Linked DNA regions of Oreochromis niloticus. The protein of the gene in region 1 purifies or fractionates together with the protein of each later gene. This does not show direct contact. Links are inferred from orthologs where the notes say so. Each region holds a gene or a part of one and is shown on either strand. Other genes may lie near its edges.

The links. The genes of interacting proteins can lie anywhere in the genome.
Region 2: the proteins of mapk4 (region 1) and fastkd5 purify together in Homo sapiens (affinity purification with mass spectrometry; 3 studies listed by BioGRID and IntAct, with this or other methods). This does not show direct contact. The link is inferred for Oreochromis niloticus from reciprocal best matches to the Homo sapiens genes MAPK4 and FASTKD5.

Annotation. Positions count from the first base shown.
Region 1 is NC_031977.2:22,133,002-22,140,439, reverse strand, and holds the start of mapk4 (mitogen-activated protein kinase 4), read right to left. Parts: upstream 3,335-7,438; 5' UTR 2,615-3,334; intron 1,119-2,614; exon of another isoform or gene 1,116-1,118; 5' UTR 1-1,115. UniProt on the Homo sapiens protein: Atypical MAPK protein. Phosphorylates microtubule-associated protein 2 (MAP2) and MAPKAPK5.
Region 2 is NC_031987.2:17,799,622-17,807,688, forward strand, and holds the start of fastkd5 (FAST kinase domain-containing protein 5, mitochondrial), read left to right. Parts: upstream 1-4,908; 5' UTR 4,909-5,174; intron 5,175-5,676; 5' UTR 5,677-5,688; coding exon 5,689-8,067. UniProt on the Homo sapiens protein: Plays an important role in the processing of non-canonical mitochondrial mRNA precursors.

The DNA.
Region 1 (7,438 bases):
GATGTTTCCTTGTAGACAAAAGCACAACGCAGGACTATTCCTACGGAAAATGGTGACAATTCAAGAGACCAACCAAAACTTAAAAAGGGATTATTAAGAAATGCTTGTGCTGAATTTCAGAGCTATTCTTAGTATTGCAAGAAAAGAAATGATCTCCATGGGATCTAAAGAATAAGATTTTGTGCGTCATTTGACCTCTTCATTTAGTACAGTGTGGAGCAATTCAAGTTGTACTTCACCATCTGTTGCCTGTGTGTCCCAAACTAAGGACAAAGAAGATGAACTCTGATGCCTTTGAGAAAAGGTGCAACTGAGCAAAACATCAAACCCAGTACAGATAAAAATATGCAAAACTGTAATGTTCGGCTTTAGTCAGTGATCACACAGGGACACTTTTAACATGCTGGTAAAGCCTCTACAGTGGATGTTTAAAAATAACTTATTTTTTTCCTTCAGCATCTTCCTCTTGACTCTTGACGGTGATGATGTCTGTCTCTCCCTCACAGATGTTTTATTTTAGAGCTGACGTCTGCTGCAGGGGTGCACTTCTAATCTCTGCCTGTATCTTCATGCACAGATAGTCAGAATATCAGGGAGCCTTATTAATACTACTCAGGGCATGGGGTATCCATAGAAACAACCCTCCGTGTGGCTGATTCTTGACTTGATGTATCATGGGACAGCAGCAGCAGCAGCAGCAGCAGGCGGATGGTCGGCTCTGCACTCTTCTCTGTTTCTGCACGCTCCGCTGTTTGTTACAAGTCATCAAGCAGCCTTTGATGGCGAGGCAGGAAAAAAAAAGGGAGGAGGGGTCATGTGTTTTACATTCAATAAGACTCTGTTGGCTCCTCCTCTTCTTCCATGATACCAGTGAGTGCCTCTATCAGTCACGCGAGTTCATTCAAAGGGAGCTCCACACCTGGGCGCCAGCCAAGTCCTGGAGCTGTGGTATCCGCTCAGTATTCATATGTGTACATGTGCTTGGGTGTAATCCCTCAGAAATCTGCTTCCTGTTGCCTTTTCATGAATGTAGGGATTTCAGCAGCATCAGCATCAAGGCCAGTATAGGAAGACACCACCATTAGCTGCGTCGCTCAGCACATCTGCTGCTCCTGCTGCTGGGGAGGGAAAGAGGAAATGGGGTGAAAGCTTGGAGACGAGGAAGATAACAAGGAAAGTTAGACGGCAGCAGAGCCTGGGTGTTAACAGGGTCTGTTGCGGCAGAGTTACCATTACATAACACCGAATGGCAGTGTAACCTAATCTATGCAAGTAACTTTGAGTGCATAGAGAGAGGATGATCAATTTTATGGTGCTTTAATATGCGCTATATGAAACTGTTATCACATCAAAGCAAAAAGTCTATTTGACAGGGTGGACTAGATCGACATGATGGCAGTTTCTTGTTCATCCTTTCAGCTTTAGACAATTTTAGTTGCAATTTCTAACCCAGGAAGGTCACATAGAGGTAGCAAACAAAAGAATTGACTTTCTCCTTCTCTTCAGCCCCAGAGGTGAAGTCATCAATCTATAAAACAAATCTCTTTGCTACCAGAAGCCTCAGGGCACGGTTGTGAATGAACTCTTCCCTCTTTCAGCTCTTTCTTACTTGAAATGGAGAGCATGCACCCTGTAACTGAACTGGACTGCAGGTGCTTTTATCCCCCCCCCTCCCCATTTCCACAGCCTTTAAAATACTTACACACTCATGTTAAGCTCAGTCAGGCTGACTGTCAGAGGCTGCAAGAGTGTAAGGTGAGAACAGAGAGACTAGAGAGGCAGCACTGACAGTGGTGCTGGGTGGGAGGTGCAGCACTGGGGTAACTTTATAAATAATGCATAACCACTAGAGACGTCGTTGGTGCTCTCTCTCTCTCTCTCTCACACACGAACTGAGCATTTATTCTCTATATTTCTTCAGGTTATGCAACATAGCTATATATTATGAATAACAATGCAGTGTCTTTATCCAGTCCAAAAAATGTTTAGCGTCTTATATTCAAATTCAGAGTGCATACCTTTAAAAGAATATAACGTAGTCTTTCATTCACATTTAAGAGGAGGGAAATAAAAGTGAACTCTTGGCATGAGCCAATATGATGTTACCAAATTTGTCGGTGATAGCAGATATGAGCAAACAAGGGCACATCTGTCATACTCCCGGCTTTGTGCTGATGCCTTTCTGTCCCAGAGGAACCTCTGTAGCTTTGTTTTCTACTCTCGCTTTTCCATCTTCCTCTCTCTCTCTGTCGCTCTCTCTTTTATACTCGGTTTACTTCTCAATAAGCGTAAAGGCAGTTTTAGCCCACTTTACATCATGGGAAACACTGCATGTTCTTCCTCTGCGCACGCTGGCTTGATGCAGCTGCCTTTGTGTGTCTACACACACTCTAGAAACGCCCCTCTGACAGAACAAAAACAATGTAATGGAAGTGCATGTAATAAAACATAAAGCCCAGTTTATAAGGGGGGGAAAAGTATTCCAACCATAAACAACCCTATGTCAGACACATATCTCAGATATCTTATCAGAGCATCTGTTCTGTGGCAAACAACAAGAGGAAGAAGAAAGAAATATACGCAAAGATAACACCAGGAACCATCCAGCACTCACCGGGGCATTACACAGCCGCAGCCTGCCGTCCAGAAACAAAGATCCGGGGAAAAGATGCGAGCTCCGTGCAAGCAAAGAAAGTGAAACACGACCGCAGCTCTGCCTCTATGGTGCGTCGGGGAGATTCAGTTGATAGAGAAGGGAACAGTCGGTGCGGGTCGGCACCGGGCGGGGGGGAGATGAGATAAGCCGGAGGCTGCTACAGAGCCGGTTATTGTGAGCGACTGTCCGCTCTCTGTCAGCGCTTTAGAGCGGTGATCTGAGAGAGGGGGAGGAGAGGAAGCGATCACCCCGATTCAGGTGCATCTAGCAGACCTGAGTGTCCTCGTAGGATCTCTCACACACTGCACCACACATGATTAAGTACTAATCTCTCTCTCTCCCTCTCCCTCACTTTCACATCTCTCCCTCATATCTCCGTGACTCCCAGCAGCTGCTCCCAGACCTTAGTTTCCACGAGTGTCACAGTTACTGGTCTCCAAACCCACTGAGGGCTAAACAATGGGAAAATTATAATTCAGACATCCATCTTTCTCATCCCTTCGCCCCTCCATCTCACTCCAGTTTCGTTATTATAGCTTGATGATTACCACGGCCATCTATCATCCTGACAGGCGCAACATCTGCGGGTCTGAGATCCCCCAAGACAGGAAGCCAGAGAGGAGCCTTTGTTGACTGTGGGTTCTGCAGAACATCTACCTGGTGGGGAGCTGGTGAGGAGAGTGAAAATGAAAAACACAAGGCTTTTGTGAGCATGGCATTGGCTAGTGTTTAAAAGAAGAACAGAAGAAAATGGCTGCTGATGAGCTAAAGTGTGCCAGTTTTATTATATAAATTATGATGAAATTAGTCTATTTCACAAGCCAGCTGAACCATGCTGTTGTTCCTAAAAAACAGAGGGGAAAAAACAGTGATCTACAGCTATAGTTGGATAAACGCAGTGTGATTGGTTCCTCATTCTCTAGCTATATTAAGATATGATTTCTTGCTTTCCTAAACCCTTTTCTGACAACTCCAGAAAACTGCGTGAGCTCAAAGTGTGTGGGTTGTTGACCTTTATGAAGACTAACAGAGCGGAAAAAACAGGAAAAAAGCAAAGTTTCTTCAGCTTCTGCAGCATCTCAATAATCTGTTGACTTACAAACTTCAGCAGCCGCTGGAAGGTCACGGTGAGCGTAATAATTATGCAGGGTTGCTTCAGCTGGAGGGATTAATAAAGAGGAGAGAGGCTCCGCAGAGAACAGATCCATGAGTCACCTAATGTAATGAACTGTGTGTGATGCTGTTATGATGTTGTGGGTTTGTCAAGAAGAAGAGACAGTTACAGATACACTTCTAGATTTTGTGTTCCATTTCTGCCTCATTAGTGTACGGATATCTAAGCTAATGGGGATTCATGGCATGAGAGCACAGATGAAGATGTCTTTCTCACCTCTAATCTGAAACATCGTGGCATAAAACAGTTTGGGAAACAAAACTTTATTAGGTCTTCAGACTGCAGAAAGTATCTGACAACTTTTGGCTGAGTTATGTTTCGGGGATGAATCATTTGCTAAACACAGACCGTAAGTGGGTCTGTGGTTTCTTTGTGATTACAAAAGGAGGTTTGAAATCAGAGAGCCGCTGCTATCGCTAAGATGAAAAGTGACAAGAAATATTTCCAACAACAGGATTTCTGTCTCTCGCTCTCCTTTTTTTTTTTTTTTTGATGTATCTAAAGGGAATCTTGGTCTAGTCTATCAAATTTTCATCTTACAGAAGCATATCTGCTCTTTGTCCTGCAAAAATAGAACAAGTTTACAAATGGAAGGTAGAAAACTGTCAAATGCTTTGATTGCAATTGCACCCAAAGAGTCTTCCTCTAAGGATGCTTTTATTCAGTAGCAGGAAAAGCATCAGAATACATGGTGAAAACCATCCTGACTGATATCCCAGCTAACCTATCCCAGCTACCATAGGGCAAGAGGTAAGTTACATCCTGGACAGGTCAGCAGTGTGACACAGAGGAACAGGCAACCATTTGCACTCACATTCACAGTTACAGGCAATTTAGAGTCACCATATAACCTAACCCTACCAACTGCATATCCTTGGACTGTGGAAGGAAGCCGGAGTACCCGGAGAGAACCCACACAGACACAGAGAGAACATGCAAACTCCACACACAGGTGGTGGAGGCGACTCAGTAGAACCTTCTTGCTGTGAGGCAACAGTACCACTACACCACCCCCTTGTTTTAAAGCCTGTTTCTAGTCCATTGAATCCTTGTAAATGTAAAACAGAGATGGACACCTTTTGCTACATTATGCAACTGGTGACCAGACATTTCAAAAACATATCTGTCTGCAGATTTTGTTTCTCCTGTGCATATTTTCTGCAACAAACTTAAATGACAAAAATGTAAAATACTGATATAGAAAAGCTGGATTAAAATAACCCTTTGTTTGGGGATATATTTTTTTTAATTCATTCTGCATTTCTGTTCTGTTCGTTCATGTGGCAAATCAGATTCTTTGTTGGGCAACATAAGCAGGGTGTAAAGGAAATGAGGTAAATAAATAAATAAATAAATGAAAGGAGGAGATGATGGAAAGATGAGAAAAAGGGCAAAGGAATATAGCAAAAAAAAGGAGCTAGAAGACACGGATATCTCCTTCAACAATTCATGCTGTGAAGATACACAATTATAGGTAATATGGACAGAGCTGTGACCTGCTGCTTCTCATGTGGTCTATTTCAGCCTCTGTTCTCTGTCCTGTGTGTCTGGGCCTCTTCTCTGGCTGCCCTCTCTAATTAACACTGATGCCGTAGAACAAATGGAGACATCACAGCGTTGGTTGTGGGTGACTATTTAGAGAAGCACACATAAACAGTAGCGTGCATGCTTGCTGTCAGTAGCACCTGCTCTTGGTCCTGACGGTGCATATTTAATATTTGGTCTCAAAGGATGGTGAAAGGTTGGAAAATCAAATAAACCTCGACACTACTACAACCCTATTTGTTTGTATTATTTTTTAATAAAAAGGAGACAAATCCCACTCTATTTCCCCGCCATACCTATAAGAAAGCAAACATCTCTCTAATCCACCATGTGATACACTTCAAGCCATGTTCTTTGTTAAACCTTTGATGGTAAAGCTGACAAAGGCAGCAGTTATGAAACAAATTCAGAAAAGACACTTAGTAGCTGAATAGCTGTGCACAACATGAAGGAATTCTTCAGGTAAGTGTCCTCAAATCTCCACAAAGAGGAAGAAAAACAGCCCTTCTGAATTTTTTCTCCATCTTCCTGCAGGAAGTGAGCAGCAGCACCGCATGTGCGCCCTCCTCAGGTTAGCTCCTGTCAAAAATTAAATAAATAAAAGCAAAGATCCCTCTCTAAGTAGGAAAGGAAATAAATAAATTAGAGGTCAGGCGGAAATCTTCTTGTGATGACATTAGGCATGTGCGCTTGGCTTGTGAGGAATTTCTTCCTGTGAGTTGATGGCCCAAATTGGAGCGCGAGTGAGAGAGAGAGAAAGGGGCCACATCTGGAGGTGTCCAAATAAGACAACAGAAAATGCCACAGTAATAAATTATCCACACAAGTGACTCATAGCCTCATGAATTCATCGCTCTCTGGTTGTTTTTTTTTATCTTTAAAGTGAACACGATACTGTCTATCTGTCAGATTCTGAATTCATGGGATACAAGTCTACTGTTTTCCTCCAGTATGCAATCAGGATTCCTAAAAAAAAGTGTTTGGTTTGTGTAAATTAATATATATAAATATAAATATAATATTTTATTTATAACAGAATACAGACAACATGTCAGATGTTTAAGATGAATCTCAGAGAGATTATGTTTGCCAGCAACTCCTCTTCTAAACATCTGGGAACTGAGGAGACCAAAAGTTCAGATGGAGGATTTGTGGCAGAGGGATGTTGTCTCGTTCTCCTCTGATGCACGATTCTTGCTGCTCAACAGTTCTTTGTCACATTTGGTCCCTCTCTTCCTTAGGCCACAGAATGCAACGTCCATGTTTTCCAAAATGATTTTCAAATTTTGATTTGTCTGTCCGCATAACATTTTTCCACTCTGCGTTTCCGGATTATGTTCATATTTGGCTTCTTCTTTGCACGATAGAGCTTTAACTTGCATTTGAGACTGGCACGATGAACCGTGTTTATAGCAGTGATTTCTGGAAGTGTTCCTGAGCCCCCACATCGATTTCCATGACAGAATCGTACCTGTTTTAAATGTAGCGCTGCCTGAGGGCCCCCATCCAATCCAATATTGATTTTTGTCCCTTGTGCACAGAAATTTCTCCATATTCTCTGAATCCTTTGATGTTATTATTTACTGTAGATGCGATATTCAAAGTCTTTGCATTTTAACACTGAGGAATATTGTTGCAACATTTGTAGATTTGTAGTTTTTTTTACAGATGGGTGAACATCTGCCCATCTCTACTTCTGAGAAACTCTGCATCTCTGAGATGCTCTTTTTAAACCCAATCATGTTACTGACCTGTTCCCAATTAACCTAATTAGTTGCAAAATATTCCTCCTGTCGTTTCTTTTTAGTACCCCCCTAAAAAGCCTTTTGCAACCTTCTGCTGCAATAAAATTCAAAATGAGCTAATATTTTTCATGAAATAGAAAGAGTGTTTTCTCTGTTCTATAATAAAACATGCATTCATCAGATTTCCATATCATTTGGTTCTGTTTTTATTTACATTTTACACAGCCTCCTAAACTTTTATATTTATACAAACCCAGTTTCCAAAGAGTATAGCACTGTTTTTACACAGGAGTTTTATTCTAATGTGTATTTTATGCA
Region 2 (8,067 bases), on another chromosome or scaffold:
AAGATATTATAAACCCTTTTACGCATTAAGTGTTTTAATGTGCTGGAGAAATCAATTTACACAGATATATGCACATTTGAGCACTTAAATTGTCCTTGTAAATCCTAGACAATTATTTGCCATCTCTGCACATATTTTGAGGTTCCCTGGAAAGATTTTTTTCCCCTCTGTATGCAGAACCCACTCAATTTCGGTCGTTGCATTAACATAACTTTCAGGACATTCTGCAAAAACTGTTATTCAAGAGTGGCTGTACACCATGCGTTCATTTAGCCCCCCCCCCTCCCCAACCCAAAACTCTGTTCCAATTAATCTGAAGCAGCCAGGCTCCTCACATGGCAATCAAGATGATAGTGTCATAGAGACGCCAATAAGCTCGAACACCTTATAGCTAAATGATAAATCAGGAGTCTGAAACGGGACTGTTCATGGATACCAACACTTGTACTCCAGCCACATTTCTGTACCCCTCCCCCACCCGCTAACATGGCGCCCAGGAGTCCACAGTTTAAAAAAAAAAAAAAAAAAAAAATGTAATAGCCACTGCAAGAACACAGCACATGGGACTACATCGACAATGTTACAGTGTCCGTGCACACACGCAGCTAAAACTGGCCGCACGTGAGGCGTTCGCATATAATGACTAGTCTGTGGACCACGCGTGAAACCGCAACTGCTCCAAACTTAACGCAGAATCCAGCACACAAGCTAGTAGTTACGCGAGGGCTCCATCAAAACAGTCCGCTCTAAGCATGCGCTAGCCAAACAGGCTAACGCGTGCAGCTTGCTACAGTGCGTTTAGTTGTTTAGATTATTATCCAATTAAAGTTTGTTCACCTATCCGTATTCCTTAAAGACAACACGTAATCCAATACCCTAGTAAGCTCACGAAGTATGCTGGTAACGTTTAGATATTCGCTTCCACTCCCCGTCCACTTCTAAGCATTGTATTGCCCCTTGTCTTAGCCAACTTAGTTGTTTCAGTATGGCTAACTCACACATGCTAATTAGAGATCAGTACACGTGCTCCCAGGTGCTTGTAAACGCCGACAGCGGCGTTTGAATAAACATAAGAGAGCCCACATAACTAGTGACAATTATGTTATTATTTTAAATACACATCTTTTTTGTTGGCATGTTAGCGTTAGCCGCTAACTCGGCAGCTCGCGAGATAGCAAAGGCGCGCGGCCTGCTACAACCCCATGTGCTGCTGCTGCTTTGTTCTGGAGGCACTTTTAAATGTACACCACCGCAACCCGAAATGACTGAAAACTTAAAAATTATACAAACAGACGGCTGACAGCGAGGGCACGTGAGTCTACAACTTGGGGCTTTTGCCAAAATTTGTAGCGGTTATTTTATTTTATTTCTTTTTACGAGTGTGGACCACTTCCCCGAGGTACCGACAAGAGGTGCAACAGCAGCGGCAACACATGCTTTTCAAATCTCCCTCATTCTCCTGCCATGGAGAAGAGGTTGCCATGCGCTTCTACTACATTTGTTTTTAAAAATGCGGAAACTTGACTATTAAAACGCTTTCTTCTCCCCTCCTCGCATATACGTTAAAGCGCACACCCGTGCCGAAGTCAACCCAGCGCATTTCACTTTCCCGACGTTTACCGCATCTCCCCAAAAAGGCTAACAACAGGTTTCTTGCCAACAACACGCGCCTTATAAGACACTAAAAAATCCACCATCTTCACTCACTTGTTCAGACTTACCGTTTACCCAGTTTCTTGGACATCTGCAAAATTTAAAAAAAAGAACACAGACTTCACAGATTAAACATCGGCTAAGACGTGTAACCCCTCCAAAAAAGTGCACAACCATGTGCTACTATTATGATTTGCTAGGATTTTGGGAATCGTAGTAAGATTGCGAAAGTGGCGCGAGTAGACTCTCCTTTTAACCATGTGGTGAATGAAGGGCGGTTCCCAGCCAGCGTAGCGGAGCCTCAACTCCTTCATTAGCATAAATCCTCTACTTCCTCTCCAAGTGGGACTCTGAAGTTTCCCCACTTAATTCATATATTGTAGCTATACATACAAAGGTGGTCACATAGATAAGCCGTTTTAATAGGGGAAAAAAATATATCAAATTGCCTCCCATTATAATCACTGGACGGGACGCCGTAAGGCTCTCTAATCTGATTTTGGTGATGTTTACACGTGGAATAAAAAATGTTTTATGAGATTTAATACATTCTTAAAATAATTCGATCTAACGAAAAATAAATTTGTTCTATTTGTTTAAACTGGATGATAGTATACGTCTGTGTGCTAAATCTGTTTACTACATAAAAAAGAATTATTTGGGGAATTTTCTGGGATGGCTTTTCAGATTTGTAGCTGACCAGAATTTGAAGCAGTGTAACCAAAACAGAACCTTACAAATGAAACGAATAATAATCATGATAACATTTTTCGACTTTCTATGTTTTAGTTTTTTTCGTTTTGTTTTTATTTGACATTCTTTACAATATTAGATAAATAAAAAAATATTATAATAGATTTTTATCTTTAGTTTTAATGAGAGACTATACCACCATGCTTCTTTATACAATTGAACTGTAACATTTAGTAACATAAAAATATTCATTAATGTCAGCAAAGAGTTTTACAAAGGGAATCCAAAGGCCACCTACATGGCTCAGTGTCTTTTGCTGGGCCTATACCTTCTCAAAGGACATAAGAAGTGTTCCCAGCAGAAATGAGAGAACTGTCGTGCATATAGCCATAGGTCAGTGTAGTTCACCTCTAACCCCTGGATTCATTCATGTGTGAAGTCACACAATGGAGGCACAGATTTTGAAGTTGCCTTTTCTGCTCAAACAGAAGAGAAATGCAAATGTAAATTTCAGTGACAGAAAGCATTGCAATGAAAACATATGAACGATTATGATGTTGAACTTTAATGAAAAATAAAACAACAAATAAAATAGATACAATAACTATTTCAAAGAGGTGTAAGTCTCACTTCAACTGTTATTTCTGTGACATATTTAACATTTCCTAAAATTCACTTTGAGGATTTAAAAAACAAACAAGCAAACAAAAACATGGGGATGGCAACATTACAAATCAATCTTTTATTTTGCTAACAGTGTTTTTTTGTAGGCAGAGAATGTATACAACATACAGTGGAAATCTTCAAAAACTAACAACAGCAACAATTGTTGTTTAAAATCGAGGTGTTTGAAGAGAATATGTAGAATCTCATGTGGTAAAAATGTGACAGCGAGCTTGCCTAAGTGTGATAAAACTAAAACACTTAGAATTTACTCACCACAATTTTATAATTAAACTGAATCTTAGACAGTTTTAGTGTTAGGAATGAATCTTTCACAAAAACAAGTTGTGTTGCATTTAAGAGAAAGAAAAACATCAAATCCAGATATTGTAGTCAACCAACTTTTATGTTTTTTTAAAAAATCAAATTGATTAGATTGGTCATTATCATTATCTGTAAAAAGCAAACAATTCAAGTTCAGTTAACTGAACTTGAATTGTTTGCTTTTTTAAAAGAAATTAACAAATTTATTAATAAAAGAATAAAAATTTGAAACAACAGTAAGGAGGAGCAAGACAGGATCTACAGAGTGAAAAAACTTAAAGACTTAACAAGACTTAAAATGGCAGCAAGTGTCTGGGCCCTTACATATCTTCTGATATACAACTTGTTTTAGACTTGGGCAGTACATTTTGGAATTAATAAATTATTATGTGTAGAAATACTAGAATGAACACACTTGAATAAAATATGTAACATCTAAACAGGACAAGAATAATTCACGTAGGTCATACCTAAATAAACAGAAAGGGAAAAAGAAAAGAAAAAAAACCTGATAGTTTTTAAAAATAAAACATGTTTTACAGTATAACCTAGTTTGATAGCTCAGTTTCTCACACAACAAATACGAAAAAGAGTTACCCCCTTTTTCTTAATATTTTGCTTCCAATGAATTAAATGCCATGTTTTCTGAAGATATGCTAAAGATTTTCTTTGAACATTGGATGTTTTTATTCATTTTCAGTTCCATCCTGAATCATTCCAACATAAAAAAAAGTTACCAAACTCTAAAGTTGAAGCAGTTTTGTATCTACAAAAAACAGACAACTTAGCAAAGAACTTTTAAATTGTTTTTCTGCCTCTTCTTTACTAGAAGCCTGTCAAAAAACACATAATGTGTTCCCATTTTTTTGTTGAATTAAAAATATGAAAACATCTATAAATAATATCTGCCATATAAAAACATAAAATATAAAATAGTATTTTTGCACTAACAAGTTGACTCCCAAAGAGCTTGGAACACAAAAGAAGAAGTGGCAGGCAATGTTAAAGCAGATGAACAGTACATGAAAGTTATGTAATTAACAAATAAGAAAAAAAATAGTCCAAGTTGTGTTGAAGCATAAAGTTGGTCCTACCAAATACTGACTTTTAAGCTCTTTCCCATTTCCTAGCAACGAATTAAAAAACAAGGTAGCTCAAGACTTTTGCACAGTACTGTAGCCATTGAATCAACATAAAATGTAGAAATAATTGTCACAAAAATTGTTGTATATCTATATTGGTTTTTTAGTTCCAGAATCACATTTATTTATGTACTACTGGGTACTGATGTAAAATAAGATTTAAATAAGAATGGTTTTTATGGTATGGGAACATCTTAGGTCGGGTAGGGTCTTTTTTTGTTTTGATCAAATGTAATAATTATTATTAATTAGTTTCAGTTAGCACAACTTGTGTTATTGTTGATGTGTTCTTATTGCGGCTCGTTGAATGAGTATTTTTGAACCTACCCAGCTGCCATAGGTCACACGCTGCTCTCCACGGAAGTTAGATCAACCTGCCATAATAATATCATACAGTCAGACACGGTACTTTTACAGGCAATTGTTATTAAAACTAAGGATAAAATTAAAATTACGGCGTGCTAATACAGTGGTATATATTTCAAATTGATGTATTAATTTGTTTTAGAGTATGTATACATATAACAATGTAGCTGATAATATAAAGTTTATTTTATTTTGAAAATCGAATTCACGAGTTCCGGTGGGGTTGCCGTAGGTCTGTCAGAGGAGTCGTTCTAACAGACTAATGCTGTGTGTTCTTGCCATGGTTTCATGAGGTTTCTCACCGTTGCACGTGTTGCTTTTGGATCGTAAAAGGTCAGTTCAATGATCTGGTTAAAATACATACAGATTTGTGCAATTTTAGTTTAGTGTAGTTTAAATTAACATTGTGTTTCCTGCTGTCTCATTGTAAAACGTGTCTGACCTCTGTTGGTTTACAGATGGACAGACTACTTTAACATGTAAATCTTTAAATAATTTAGGTTTATCGTTTGGTTTAAACTGTAATTTTAAGAGAGAAATATCATGTATTGTAGGCAGTCTCGGAAAGAGCTACAAAAGTGCATTAAAATAGCCACCATAACAAAAAAGTAGTGTATGTTCACGATTGACAAGCAGCTTTATGATGTTTGTGTCTAAAGTTTCAACATTTAAAAATTAACCAGGAAGCTCATCTGTATGCATCTCTATCTTTTTAACTGTGCTTTTAATACAAACAATTTATAAATTATTCATTTGTAAGATATGCTTTTGCTTTGGCACATTACTTGACTTGGCACATGACTTTTGTTTTGCTGTATTTTGCTATGTTTTCTAGTGTGGTACACCCATGGCTGCCTGTGTGGTGTGTCGCTGGATGCCCAGGCTACGCCACCTCCCAGGCCTGAGAAAAGGCTTTGCCCGCGCTCAGCATGTGCATATTAAACCAGAGGATGAGGCTGATGATCTGGAGGAAAAGAGAAGCTTGTCGCATCACAATGAAGTATGTTTAGAAGGATACAGGCTCCATTACAGCCCTTCTTCATATCATCACTGTGCATTGAACTCTGCCTCCCATAGCCAAACAGACAACGATGAAGATGAGCAGTGTCTACCCACTCTCGCACCTTCTTTCTGGCAACGGAGCAATCGCTACAGTGTGAGTTGCTCACGACATCTCTCCAGCTCAAAAAACACTCTTCTGGACTTGGCCTTCAATAAAAGCTCTGAACCAGAGATCCCCTCAGCGTCCTCTTACCAGAGAAAACCTGTACTACCAGATGTTAAAATAGACACGCGTGCCTTCCACAAATGCAGACCAGAGTATGCCTCAATGAGCCTAGACCTTAACCAGAGACCTCACCCACTCAAATGGGAAGAGGCAATGCAGCTGCTCCAAAAAGTGGCTGTTTTAAAGGGCAGCATGAAAGCATCTGATGTGTCTCAGTTTCTTATGGAGCTCAGCCGATTGCACCCAGACAAGATGCCGTTAGTGAGGAGTGACCAGCGCTTCATCATGCTCCTTCGATATTCCGTGGAACACCTTCGCCACTTTACTCAACTTCAGCTGCTAGAGGTGCTGCAGTCGTTTGTGTGGCTGGGCATGCCCTCTGCCCACACTATACTCGAACTGTACGAGACTGAGCTGAGTCGCCGGTCCAGTCAGATGACTTTGCATCAGTTGATTTTAGCTGCTGATTTGTGGCGCTGTATAGGGAAGCAGGCACCTCAGTTCCTACTGCACCTCTATGACTCCGTTCGTCTGCATCTGGGACAATTGGGCGTGCCCGAGGTGGTCCAACTGTTGTATATATTGGGAGAGGGTAGGCAGTGTCCAAAAGACGTGATCCGTCCTCTGGAGCAGCTTCTCATGAATCATTTGCCACAATTGCGACCTGAGGAGGTTGGTGTTATATGCTTAGGACTCTTTAAATCCCAAACTTCAATATCTGAGAGTGCAGTGACTCGCATTGTTGATAAGGCACTCTCTTTTGTGAAGGAGATGAGCGACTTTGCCATGGTGAATGTGTTGAAGTACCTGCGTTTCAGTTATTTATATCACAGGGCATGGCTGGAGGCCATGGCAGAGGAAGTTCCTCAGCGTGCCCACAGAATGGGTGTCAAGGGGCTAATGCATGTGGCACTGACCTGTTCTGCTCTTCATTACAGTAATGACAATATCCTTACTGCTGTCGCTGACAGAGTACCCTTGTTAGTGCCACACTGCAGAAGTAAAGACTCATGCAAACTCTTGTGGGCTTATGGCACATTAGGGTTTCTCCCATTACGGAGTCCAAGCTTCTATCCAAGTCTTACAGAATCCCTGAGGCAAAGGAAAGCTGAATTTCAACGATACCCAGAGCATCTGCTCACTGGTCTTTTAGGCTTGGCCTTTGTCTCACAGTTCCCAGAGGACCTAATTGCATTAGCCTTGAGCCCTGATTTTGTCAACTTAGCACTGAAATGCACACAGCTTGAGCTGAAGAAGGATTTGTTCACTTTAGATGGAGTTGTAGCTTTGGAGTTGCCTCAGTGGACTGGCCCTCGACTGAGCAGTGAACTTCGGGATGAGGTTACAGAAATGCTGTGGAAGTTTGCTCAGTCAGATGTGTGCCAGAAACCCGAGGTTCAGGAGGCAGAATCTGCTCTGAAAGATCTGCTTGGTGGTGAGGAGTTTGTATGTAAAAGAATGATCCTTCCCCATACTCGCTCCATTGACCTGGAAGTACACCTCAACTCCACTGGGCAGCCTGTACCTGTGAACCAAGCATCTCTAGAACAAAGCTCATCCACATCTCCTTCTAATCAGGGATGGGGGAAATTAAATGTAGGAGTTACAATAACTGATGAACTTTTAGCACAGTTGATAAATAAAAACAACAACACAAAAGCGCCTTTGGCTCAATCACCTAAAGTGAAGACTGCATCTCTTCAAAGATTACAGCCTGATGAAAGTGGGAGACTCTTTGACACAGTGTTAGACTTGACCACTGACATTATAGAAACTCTGACCAAACCCAGTCACCTTGGGTCTTCTCGCAAGGACTCCAATGAGATAGTCAAAATTGCCGTACAGGTCTCGAACAGGAACCACTTCTGCTCCCAGTCACAGCAGCTCCTGGGACTTCATGCCATGAAGAGAAGGCAGTTAAAGATAGCAGGCTATAGGGTTGTAGAGCTTAGTTATCAAGAGTGGTTTCCATTGCTGAGGAAAAGCAGAGCCGAGAAG